Neurospora crassa OR74A: one gene and its partners. The protein of the gene in region 3 interacts with the protein of the main gene of each other region in a pairwise test. Links are inferred from orthologs where the notes say so. Each region holds a gene or a part of one and is shown on either strand. Other genes may lie near its edges.

Region 1 (4,182 bases), on a different chromosome or scaffold from region 3:
TTCTGGTCTTGCGCCGTCCAGTAGAGCGGGCCTGCTACGGGGTCGGTAGTGTTGCTATCGCCATTTGTGGCTTCGTGGACGCCATTGCTGGTGCCATTGGTCGTAGTCGTCGTCGTCTTCGTCGTTCCATTCGCGTTCAGGTTCTCAATCTCGTCGGCGTAGTCTAGTTGCGCATCTTGGAAGCTGACTTTCAGAGAGTTTACGAGTTCGAGGTTGGATGCGCCGGGCTTGCGAACAATGGAGGGCCCGCCGGAAATGATGTTTCTGAAGGAGAAAAAAAAGTTCGAGCACGCAATTAGTGATTGGGTCTAAGAGATGGCTATCTTGCCTATTTTCGAGCGAGGTCGCACAGCTAGGGACAAGAGACAAACCATATGGCCTGCCCTGCCCTACACCATCATACTTGAGACCGGAGCCACACAATGAAGAGAAGGACGGACATACCCGGTAGAAAGTATTAACTTGGTCATGACTGCTAAGGATGTTGACGACCTTTTTTTTTCTTTTCTTTTGGAAATGGGTAGAAAAAAGTTAAAACGCTGGCCAGGCGCAAGACGAATCTCTCTACCTCTTGAACTTTGGACTAGATAGTGGGGTACGACTTATTTGGTTCAATGGAGCCTAGAACCGATTATTAATGATTTACTGGCATGGGTCCGGGGGTGGTTCGATTCGGGAGTATGAAGGTACCTTTTGTAAGCTTGTGATGATATGTATCACCACAAACGCCGATGGTAGGGTGGTGTTGCCAGAGATAGGCAGCTGTAACGACACAGGGGAACATCAGTTTGGAAAAGTATGAATATCCGTCGTCGACCAAGAACATAACCCAGGATAGAGGTTAGACGGAGTTTTCGCAATGTGGGATGTCCGCAGACCATAAATCGGAGAGGTCATCATCCGACTCTCGGATTTTGACCTTGCGCTAGGTGAAGCATGGCTCTACACGCAACTCCCAGGGAAGGCGCCATGAGCAAGAACAAGTGCGGACTCTCAAGCAAGTTTGTCAGAGTCGGAGATGCACGTCGCGGACATTGCCGAGAATGTCAACGGCAGCTATGCCAGCTTCGGCATCTGATGACTGTCGGTTGCGTTCTCAACCACACTTTGGTGTAGATATGCGCGGGATGCCGTAGAAGGAGAAGAAAGCAACAGCCAACCAGAAGGTCTGACAGGAACGGGATGTCTTGTTAGGTGAGGAACTGCCCGGTGAACGTGGGGAGCCTTGTACTTCTCCCACGATTAGTAGGTCATGTTCGCTTGTTGCAGCCACCAACACTGAGGAAGAGAACTAGTTGAGTCATGCCGGCAGAAGATGATAGAAAAATGAACCAGACGCCCGCTACGACTGAGGGGGTTTAATGAGAAAAGGGCTTCCCTTTTGATCCGTCCTTGAGATTTTGTGTGCGTTAAGTGGTTTGCCCAGCAACATGGGATCAGCAGAAGATAAAAAGTCAATCAACTCAATTGTCGTTAGGTACATAGACAGTTAGACGATCAACGAACTCCCATGTTAAGCCTCGATCAACTCAGGAGCACATCATCCACTATAAGACCACTAAAGAAGCCTCTGAAAACGAGAAGTGCCAGATGCACTAATAGTCTCTAGGATCGGGTAGAGCCCCACTTGCCTTGGGTCTGGTTCTTCAGGCACATTGGACGGCCGTCGTCCCGCCCCTTTGGACAGCTCCAGGCGGGAGGAGTCCAGGCTGTCGGCGTGGTGTCCTTGTCAAATTTCCCGCCCGTGACAACACCTCCATGATCACATTGTCGACTCCCGCTCAACGTGATCCCGGGTAGTTGATGGAATCATCGTCATCATGGCTATTCAGTATGCGCCCGACAGTCGCCATCTTGCTATTCACAATGAAGTCAAGCTGACCCGGAGCTCTGCAGCTATCTAATCCTCCTCTCGCGCCAGGGCAAAGTGGTGCGTCTTGCCCGCCGCGGGCGTTGCTCTCGTCCCCAACCACGCTGTCCTTCTCCCGACTAACCGCACGTCAAATATCCAGCGCCTGGCCAAATGGTTCACCACTCTGTCTCCCAAGGACAAGGCCAAGATCGTCAAGGACGTTTCCCAGCTTGTCCTGGCTAGGAGGACTCGCATGTGCAACTTTCTCGAATACAAAGGCAAGCTCCGCCAATTCTCCTGGATCGCAACATAGGGCTAACTAACTGTCTTTTTGCTCGTCTGCAGATACCAAGATTGTCTACCGCCGATATGCCTCGCTTTTCTTCATCGCCGGATGCTCCTCCGAGGACAACGAGCTGATCACCCTCGAGATCATCCATCGCTATGTCGAGCAGATGGACAAGTACTACGGCAACGTCTGCGAGCTCGACATCATTTTCTCCTTTACCAAAGCCTACTACATCCTCGACGAGCTCCTGCTGGCGGGAGAGTTGCAGGAAAGCAGCAAGAAGAATGTCCTACGATGCATATCGCAACAAGACGCCTTAGAGGACATGGAGGTGCGTACAAGCATTTGACTTGGAGCCGTGACCGCTTGCCCGGACAGAATTTGCCTTCTTCCCGCGTCGCTACGCCTACACGCTCCCCCCCCCCCCCCCCCCCCCCCCCCCTTGTTGCAATCCCTATCCGTAAACCACCGCGCTCACTGACACGTTTATTGCACTTCCTCAGGTCGAGGATGAAGTCACAAAGATCATGTAAAGGCTGATCAAGCTTTGTGGTGTCTTTTTCTCTCCATCATCACGACCGACCGAACCGGGTCCCCTCAAACACTTGCGATTGCCAATGGTCGACATTTATTTACCCCAACAGCATACGCTAATGCATACCTTTACCTCCTGATGCAGGATTTGGAAGAAATAAACAACGCACTCAAGCAGGCCGGGATTCTCTGAAGCTGTGGTAGCGACCACAGTCCCTCCGATAGGTGACGGCACCGGATGGACAGACGAGAGGGGCGACCCGAAGCACGAGAGTACAGCATATGCAACCAGGGAGGACAATAATAATCGCGCCGAGAGAAGGGGAAGCAGAGTGTGGTGTGGTGGCAGGAAGTCGGGGCTACAGTCACCCATTAGGAGGGAGCAAACTCCCTTTCCTTAATCATATAGATATGGGCATTGTAGATTAATGAGCTGCCAAAACTGAGCCACTCGGAGACCGGATACACCACTAGTGTCCTAATCATGGACGATGATGGGAGGAAACCAAGTGGAATGCGTATCCGGTACACTGGGCATGGCCTCGGCGATGTGCTTAATGATAACAACGATTCAACGACGCGTTGCCAACACCGATCCATCTGTTCATGACCTCACACATCGGGTGTATGCGCAGAAACAGATCGATTCGCTCGGGAGACGTTGGGGTGGCGTTACCTTGATGCCCACCAAGGAAAGGTTTGTCCACATCGACGTTGGAAGCAACGCTCGTGGAGGGTTGAGACGACTCTATTCGTCAGGTGGTTGTGGTTGACAATTAACATTGATGAGCAGCATTCAGGCCGGGACACACATTGACACACAGGAAGTGGAACGCACTGCGATTACTGACTGGAGGCTTCCAGGCGGAACGGCGGAGGGGAGTGAGTGGGAATGGAGACTTGGTGGTGACAAGGGAACGCCGATCACTTAGGGGGTGCGACTCCACCCGACTCGAGGAGCCAGCGGCGCATGACCGGGGTTTAGGCGGGTCGACCCCAGCAATCCCCAGCGAGCCAAGGCCAACGTGGGCTGGCGCAAGCAGGCCACTCACCCGAAAGGCCACCCACCTGTTACTGTCAGCGTCAGCGAACCGGCTCTGGCCCTGATGGCACGGCTTGGAAGGAACGTCAGATAGGTAACGAGCCATCGATGGAAAGCGAGACCGCAGCCGGGGCACCAAGGGAACATATCAATGACCAACAAGAGGACTGACTGGAGCCAAGCTGAACACAGAAGAAGCATGATGGCTGTACACTCACTATACCGACCCGATAACCGGCGGTCCCCTTGGATTCAATTCGGATGGATTGGAAAGAACATCATACACTACATGTATGGGATTTATCCAAGTTGTCCCTCCTCCCACTTTTCCCACTTTTTGTTTCCCAAACTGATCTGAACCTCACTTCAACTAAACAGCAGGACATCACTCGATATATGACGATATCGTCACCCCTATTTCTCCTCACGCTAAACTTACATCAACATCAACAACATCAAAAACCC
Region 2 (4,166 bases), on a different chromosome or scaffold from region 3:
ATGGCTGGCACGACTGGTCGACTGGCTCACGCCGGCGAGGAACGAAAAAAACCACCACTACCAGCGCCACGGGATTGGGAGCACCATGAGCACTAGCTGATCATCACGTGCGGATTTTGGCGTTTCTTGGGAGCTGAGCCGGTGAAACGCTCCTGACTGCGGCACCGACTCCGGCATTGACTTTCGGCAGTGTGTGTGTGGTGATATCGATCACTAATCAACCGGAGAGTGAGAGCATGTCGAGTGCAACGGGCCGACTGAACAGGTCCGCTTCCAAGTTTTCGTCCGTCATCCGTCCCCTCCGGCCAAGGAACGAAGGAATGGCTGCTCCGATCCCAAACACAAGATTTACCGGCCGGCCGGCGTGGACAGACCGCAACACGGGTGGGTGGGTGTCCGACGGCGTAAAACGATAATAAAATATAGCGCTTTGCGCGCGACACAACGATCAACGTCAAGACACACAAAAAGGTTCAAAACACCAAGAAAAAAAACAACTTCTACGATGATGGAATGTGTGGAACCTCTGACGCCGCCCTAGTAATTTTGGTCATCTTCCCAAAGGCAGACAACATACATGGGCAGCTCTTATGGAGCCATTTGAAGAAATCAATCCCCTTCTTCTCCGCGTCGCGAAATCGCAGAATCACCATAGGACACGGTTCGAACCCCGACAGAATGCCGGAGCCGATGTGCATTTGCGATGTTCGGCACTGTCTGAGGACGCGTTGAAGAAAAAAAAAGAGGAGAAAAAGGTGCAAGATTGAAAACGACGGAAGGGTTTCTCTAAAATACTTGCGAGGAGCGGAGGAATTTTGGGTGGATCTGCCAGAGAAGCACAGACCTTTTCTTTTTTTTTTCTTTCTCGAAAGACGGACAAAAGTTCAGCTGGGGCCGATGGGAAAGAGAGTCGAAAGTCTGCCCCACTTCCTTCCATCGGAACACTTGAGTTGTTGGGTCTTGCGCCGACGACGATGACCTAGAGAGCTCGAGCAGCTGGACTGGAGACCAATTAACCCCGATTCTCTGATGATGCTCCCGTCACGGAAATGAAATGGCAGCATCATGATGGAATGGAAAATGTTCACCTTCGACCCTGCCAAGACTTACCAAGCCTTTCCCTCTTGGGTGTGGATGTGACTTAGCGAGCCTGGCAAGGCTACGGGGACCAGCTGACCGACAGCTGGAGCTGAAGAAGGTTCCACGTCGAGACTTGTCACAAAGGGGCGGAAGCTCGCTGACCACGAGTGCTTGGCATTGCTGCTTGGTGCTGTGAGCTCTGTTCTGGGCTGCAGTGGCATTGCTGGCCGCCAGGGTGTTCTTGGCCTGTGCTTTTCGAGATCTGGATGCACCATCGCTTCCATGTCACCACTTGTCGCGACGTATTGATAGCGACAACTGCACACACTCGTCTTCAGTTGCAGGATAGGTATCGTGGCTTGCCCGCGCTACACCTTTGATAAACAACAACGACTGTGATACTTTGTTTGCAGTTCTTGACCCTCAGCTCCTCGACAGGATTTCAACCACCTACGGCGCATGTTATAGCCCATTGACGAACCGAGTTCGAACTCACTTTTGGCGCTCGCGCCTACCATACTCGATTACCCCCCCTAATCGTAGCTTGCGCCTTGTATTACCAGTGCCCCTCCTCCGTTTCCGTCAACACCTTCTCCTCGACCACGACGCCGACGACGACAACAACAACTCTCTACACTCAATCTCCTCAGACAACAACAGACACCACAGCTTACCATGGCGTCCGCCATTTTCTTTCTAGATCTCAAGGGCAAGGTGGGAAAATGCTCATCTGGTGGTGTCGCAAAGTCCACAGCAAAGCATCCAAAGCTGACCGCCCAATGCGCCCTCACTTAGACCCTCCTTGCCCGTAACTACCGCGGTGATATTCCCATGTCGGCCGTCGAAAAGTTCCCTATTCTATTAAGCGAAGCCGAAGAAGAGTCGTCCGCCGTACCACCATGCTTTTCCCACGAGGGTATCAACGTATGTTATCTACAAGCCCGTCGTCGTCGTCGTCCACCCTGCTGCTGCTGCTGCTGCTGCTGCTGCTGCTGCTGTTGCGAGAACCTCTTGGGCCACAGATTTGCTGAACACTTTCTTCGGTCATTTAATATATATAGTACCTCTACATCCGCCATAATAACCTGTACCTTCTCGCCCTCACAAAACGCAACACCAACGCCGCCGAGATCCTGCTCTTCCTGCACAAGATCGTCGAGGTCTTCACCGAGTACTTCAAAGCGTTGGAAGAGGAATCGATCCGGGACAACTTCGTCATCATCTACGAGCTCCTGGACGAGATGATGGATTTCGGCTACCCGCAAACGACCGAGTCCAAGATCCTGCAGGAGTACATCACCCAAGAGTCGCACAAGCTCGAAATCCAAGCGCGCCCGCCCATCGCCGTCACCAACGCCGTCTCATGGCGATCCGAAGGCATCCGCTACCGCAAGAACGAAGTGTTCCTCGACGTGATCGAATCCCTCAACCTGCTGGTCTCGGCCAACGGCAACGTCTTGCGCTCCGAAATCCTCGGCGCCATCAAAATGAAGTGCTACCTCTCCGGCATGCCCGAGCTGCGCCTGGGCCTAAACGACAAAGTCATGTTCGAGACCACGGGGCGCACCACGCGGGGAAAGGCCATTGAGATGGAAGACGTCAAGTTCCACCAGTGCGTACGCCTGTCGCGCTTCGAAAACGACCGCACCATCTCCTTCATCCCGCCCGACGGCGAGTTCGAGCTCATGTCGTACCGCTTGAACACCCAAGTCAAACCCCTGATCTGGGTCGAGTGCGTGGTCGAGTCCCACTCCGGTTCGCGAATCGAGTACATGCTCAAAGCGCGCGCGCAGTTCAAGCGCCGCTCGACGGCCAACAACGTGGAGATCATTGTGCCGGTCCCCGACGACGCCGACACGCCCCGGTTCCGGACGAACGTGGGGAGCGTGCACTACGCGCCCGAGAAGAGTGCCATCGTGTGGAAGATCAAGCAGTTTGGTGGCGGCAAGGAGTTTTTGATGCGCGCGGAGCTGGGTCTTCCTAGTGTGAGGGGCGACGATGAGCACGGCGGTGGCATGACGGGTGGATTTGGTGGCAGTATGGGTGGTGTCGGTGCCCCCGGGAAAGGAGCCAAGAGGCCGATTCAGGTCAAGTTTGAGATTCCATATTTCACCACGAGTGGGATTCAGGTGCGGTATTTGAAGATTACGGAGCCAAAGGTAAGACTTTTTTTTTTCTTTCTTTACCCATGTTTCTTCTAGCACCTGTGGCTGCTAGTTACTGACGATTTGAAACAGCTACAATACCCCTCCTTGCCTTGGGTCAGGTACATTACGCAGTCAGGAGATATCGCCGTCAGATTGCCCGACGCGGTATGAACGACGAGGACTTGGATACGGGCAAGAAGAAGCCTTGTTTTTTTTCTTCAAAACAAACGACAGATCGTGGAACAGAAAACCTACAATTTACCTACCAGCTGGGTGGGGCATGAAAGGGAGCGGCCGCAGAACAGGTATTAATTCTGGCTGCCTCATTGAACACATTGGCCTGTCCTCAGTCCCTGCCCCCAGGTCGACGAGATATGCCCTACCCAGAACGACATCCCAGGTCGTGGCTCCGATGTACAGATGGGGTAAAAGGAGAGAAGAGACTTATGGCGTATGTATAGTAATGATGGCCCTGACACGACATGGATGGACTAAGTAGAAGGGAGAAGCGGTTGGTTTATAGGTAGATGATGCGTAGGTGCCACACACCGCAACATGACGTCCATGTCAAACAATATTCGATATAATATTTCTGCATGAACACAGTCCTGTCAAGTGGTGGTCGAAGAAGTTGGAAAAGTTGGACACGCGTGAATCAGATCAGTGTGCCCGGGTCGTCATCCTCGAGTGCAAGGATGGATTGATGGGCGGTCCTGATTTGGCATGCCTATAGCCACCCGTCTCCACCTTTACTGTGGAGGAACTGAAAAGGGAAAACAAATTATTTTTCAGACCCCCACGTGTACAGGAGACTGGCAACGTTAAAGGAAGACAGGATGCCAAAAAAAAAAAAAAAAAAAAAAAAAAAAAAAAAAAAAAAAAAAAAAAAAACCTTCTCTCGATGGCCTATGTTACCGTATGCAACCGATTTCCACGATA
Region 3 (4,064 bases):
CGTGAAGGACGGAGAGAAGAGCTGGGGACTGGGTGATGGCGGGAGGCCCAGGAGGAGGGCGGCGGCTAAGGTGAAGAGTCTGAAGCTTGAAAGTGACTCTGAAGATCAAGAGGAAGAGGACGAAAGTGGGGATGGAGCGGACAAGAAGGAAAAGAAGGAAAAGAAGAAGAAGAAGAAGAAGGCCGAAAAGGAGGGTAGCGGTGATGAAGATGGAGACGATGATGATGATGAAGTTGAAGAGGACGACGAAGATGACGATGACGAGGACGAGGACGACTCAGAAGATGCGGAGCCAAAGGCAAGGGTGAGAGGCCCAGCCAAGCACAGGGCGGATTTCGCTTTCTTGGGCTCTGAGAGCGAGTCTGATTAAGTCACGGTGATTGATATGGAGCAAGCAAGACCCAGTGTCTTGGATCACCACTACTTCTTCATGGTTATGTTATGGGCGTGTACGATTCAACGAGATGTTTTATACCCTTTTGGTTTTGTATGACTATTTATCAAGGTACGCAATGGGCGGAGAATATGGCACATTGGAGGCAGGTTCTCAGTTTCGGAATTACTTTGTGGCGTTCATTCTTTGAGCTATCAAGCTGAAGACTGCGACGGAGCTTAGGAACAGGACGGCGTTGTAGAACTAGTAGTATCATGTTAGGTGGTCTTGGGGTTAAACAGCAGCACCGGAATATGACGTACTGCTTTTCTGGACACGTCTCTTTCTTCACTGTCCGTCCTGGCCTCGATGAAGAGGCGACGCAAGTTGGGAAAGTTGGCCTGTTGTGATTCAAGGTTCTCAGTCTTAGCAACATGTTTAGGGGATCTCAACAATGAGGGTTAGTCTTGTGGACAATTACCATTGTTTCGCCTCTGCCAGTTGACACTTGAGACGTTGATGCTGGTGATAGGTCGTACTTTTGAAGATATGGGAAGGTGATTTAAGTCCTAGTAAAAAAGGGAGGATGTGTCTAAGCTGCAATATCGCCGAATAATCAGTCGCTTCTCCAGTGTACTGGGAGTGGATGGTCCTCCGTCGTCACGGCCAAGCACAACCATCATCATCGTCCTCGTCGCCAAGTGCCAAGCCACAGCTGCCAGATGGGATCGAATGCCCCAAAGACGGCACTGTGGCTGAAGCTCTCCTTTACGGCGGGGCACCTCGCTAGCAATGAAGGACCCTGTGAGTGGGGCAACTCACAACAAGGTTCACGCCAAGACGCTCTGGCCTGTCGCTGCAGTGACTTGGAGGACACCACAGTTGAACCACAGCTGAACCACAGTGGCCGCTATTCAGCGCGTACCTATCACTGGACATCTGCCCGTCCACATCATCGTCGTGATCCATCCCGTCCTGACACCAGCGACGACGCGGCGACCTGATCCAAAGCTGGAGCACGCCCTCGACAACAGCACGCTGCCTCACAGCCGGCCAGGTTGCACTTTTGTTTCACGACTACCGGTACCTACGCGATCAACATACCAAAGCATCCGTGTATGCGCCATTCCACGACCACCCGTTGAGGCGCCATCTCCTTTGTCAAAGCTCGAGGTTTCACCGCCCGATCTCGACCTTGTCAGCACCTCCACCACTGCTTGTCCTCCCTGAGCGCGCAGAACAGCAACGCCTTCGCAATGTCAGCTATCAACCGCATTAGGGGTGCGTTTGCGCCGCCGCGCAAGGGCGAAACCTTCGAGCTGCGAGCCGGCCTTGTGTCCCAATATGCCTACGAGCGGAAGGAAGCCATCCAGAAGACCATCATGGCCATGACCCTGGGCAAGGATGTTTCGGCGCTCTTCCCGGACGTCCTCAAAAACATTGCGACCTCCGACCTTGACCAGAAGAAGCTGGTGTATCTCTACTTGATGTGAGCATCAGCTGCCCTCGTCTCTGGCCCCTTCATGAACGAACGCTAACCCCTGAGTCCAGGAACTACGCCAAATCACATCCCGATCTCTGCATTCTAGCCGTCAACACATTCGTACAAGACTCGGAAGACCCGAACCCCCTCATTCGAGCGCTGGCGATTCGAACAATGGGCTGCATCCGTGTCGACAAAATGATCGATTACATGGAGGAGCCGCTACGAAAGACGCTACGAGACGAGTCCCCCTACGTACGCAAGACCGCCGCCATCTGTGTCGCCAAACTGTTCGATCTCAACCCCACAATGTGCATCGAGAACGGCTTCCTGGAGACACTGCAAGAGATGATTGGTGATCCCAATCCCATGGTTGTGGCCAACTCCGTCCAGGCCCTGTCCGAAATCCACGAAACTGCCCCCGAGACCAGGGCGCTTGTCCTCACACCCGCGACCCTAAAGAAGCTGCTTATGGCGTTGAACGAGTGCACGGAATGGGGGAGGGTCACCATTTTGACAACACTAGCCGAGTACACTGCCCATGACGTCAAGGAATCGGAACACATTTGCGAAAGAGTAGCGCCCCAGTTCCAACACGTCAACCCCAGCGTGGTTTTGGCTGCCGTCAAGGTCGTCTTTACCCACATGAAGGCTCTCAACCCCAAGACAGTGAGCGCTTACCTGAAGAAGATGGCTCCTCCTCTGGTAACGCTCATCGCTTCTGCTCCTGAGGTTCAGTATGTCGCGCTGCGCAACATTGACCTTCTGCTGCAAGCCAATCCCGATATTCTTAGCAAGGAGCTGAGGGTATTCTTCTGCAAATACAACGACCCCCCGTACGTCAAGCTCCAGAAGCTTGAAATCATGGTCAGGATAGCAAACGACAAGAACTTTGATCAACTACTTTCCGAGCTCAAGGAGTATGCCCTTGAAGTCGACATGGATTTCGTCCGGAGAGCTGTCAAGGCCATCGGTCAGGTCGCCATCAAGATTGAGGCCGCTAGCGAAAAGTGCGTCAACGCGTTGCTTGATCTAATCTCCACCAAGGTCAACTATGTTGTGCAAGAGGTTATTGTCGTCATCAAGGACATCCTCCGCAAGTATCCCGGATATGAAGGTGTCATTCCGACTCTCTGCAAGTACATCGACGAGTTAGATGAGCCCAACGCCAGGGGTGCCTTGATCTGGATTGTTGGAGAGTATGCTGAGAAAATCAACAACGCCGATGAAATTCTGGAAGGGTTCGTCGAGGGTTTCTTGGAAGAGTTCACGCAGACCCAATTGCAGATTCTTACCGCTGTGGTCAAGCTGTTCCTGAAGAAACCCAGCAACACCCAAGGCCTAGTACAGAAGGTCCTCCAGCAAGCCACGGCAGACAACGACAACCCCGATATCAGAGACCGTGCTTATATCTACTGGCGTCTCCTCTCTGGCGATCTCGATGTTGCCAAGGTTTGTCACAATTCCTACCCCCTGAATATGTAAACATTGACTAACTTGCGTTCATAGAGCATTATTCTCTCTCAAAAGCCCGCCATCACGACAACAGTAACATCCCTCCCTCCCGTCCTCCTCGAGCAACTTCTTTCCGAGCTTTCCACTCTCGCCTCCGTCTACCACAAGCCTCCCGAGTCGTTCGTCGGCAAGGGCCGTTTCGGCGCCGACGAGATCCAGCGCGCCGCCATCCAAGAACAGCGCCAAAACGCCGCCGAGAACCCCATTGCCGCGTCAGTCGCTGCTGCTGCCAAAGGTGGCCAGCAGAACAACGTTGAGAATCTTCTCGACATCGATTTTGACGGCGGCGCTCCTGCCAGCGCAGAGCACGGTGGCGGTGTCGGCACACCAGATCGGTTTGGCAGCCCGGCCAACGTCGGTGGTCTTCCCGGTGCGCCACCGCAACCCAGTGGCGGCATGGCGGATATCATGGGGCTTTTCGATGCACCACCGCCCATGCCGTCGGCGTCTGCTGCAACTTCGCCGGCTGCTGCAGGCGGGATGGGTGACATGATGAGCTCGTTTGCAGGCATGGATCTTAGCGGGACGAGTGCGCCGCCGCCGCCTGGTCAGCAGCTGGGGCATCCGGCTAGTCAGACTCCTCCCAAGAGTGGTGGAGGTAGCGAGGATCTGCTTGGGTTGTTCTGATGGAAGAAGTCATGATTGGATGAGTATGGTGTCACTATAATAGCATGGTAGTTGGGGTTGGTGATG

What was found. The genes of interacting proteins can lie anywhere in the genome.
Region 1: the proteins of NCU09721 (region 3) and NCU10618 interact in binary tests that used the Saccharomyces cerevisiae proteins (3 or more experiments, as listed by UniProt). The link is inferred for Neurospora crassa OR74A from reciprocal best matches to the Saccharomyces cerevisiae genes APL2 and APS1.
Region 2: the proteins of NCU09721 (region 3) and NCU09688 interact in binary tests that used the Saccharomyces cerevisiae proteins (3 or more experiments, as listed by UniProt). The link is inferred for Neurospora crassa OR74A from reciprocal best matches to the Saccharomyces cerevisiae genes APL2 and APM1.

What each region holds. Positions count from the first base shown.
Region 1 is NC_026505.1:1,564,225-1,568,406, reverse strand, and holds NCU10618 (AP-1 complex subunit theta-1), read left to right. Parts: upstream 1-1,379; 5' UTR 1,380-1,820; coding exon 1,821-1,831; intron 1,832-1,896; coding exon 1,897-1,930; intron 1,931-2,012; coding exon 2,013-2,130; intron 2,131-2,197; coding exon 2,198-2,472; intron 2,473-2,644; coding exon 2,645-2,674; 3' UTR 2,675-3,776; downstream 3,777-4,182. Other genes in the region: NCU04596 (gamma-cysteine synthetase regulatory subunit), read right to left, coding at 1-264, 445-470. UniProt on the Saccharomyces cerevisiae protein: Component of the adapter complexes which link clathrin to receptors in coated vesicles. Clathrin-associated protein complexes are believed to interact with the cytoplasmic tails of membrane proteins, leading to their selection and concentration.
Region 2 is NC_026505.1:834,214-838,379, reverse strand, and holds NCU09688 (AP-1 complex subunit mu), read left to right. Parts: upstream 1-1,363; 5' UTR 1,364-1,755; coding exon 1,756-1,794; intron 1,795-1,875; coding exon 1,876-2,004; intron 2,005-2,141; coding exon 2,142-3,239; intron 3,240-3,317; coding exon 3,318-3,398; 3' UTR 3,399-3,824; downstream 3,825-4,166. UniProt on the Saccharomyces cerevisiae protein: Component of the adaptor complexes which link clathrin to receptors in coated vesicles. Clathrin-associated protein complexes are believed to interact with the cytoplasmic tails of membrane proteins, leading to their selection and concentration.
Region 3 is NC_026507.1:1,361,009-1,365,072, forward strand, and holds the start of NCU09721 (AP-1 complex subunit beta-1), read left to right. Parts: upstream 1-1,261; 5' UTR 1,262-1,629; coding exon 1,630-1,862; intron 1,863-1,924; coding exon 1,925-3,308; intron 3,309-3,365; coding exon 3,366-3,998; 3' UTR 3,999-4,064. Other genes in the region: NCU09722 (hypothetical protein), read left to right, coding at 1-370. UniProt on the Saccharomyces cerevisiae protein: Adaptins are components of the adaptor complexes which link clathrin to receptors in coated vesicles. Clathrin-associated protein complexes are believed to interact with the cytoplasmic tails of membrane proteins, leading to their selection and concentration.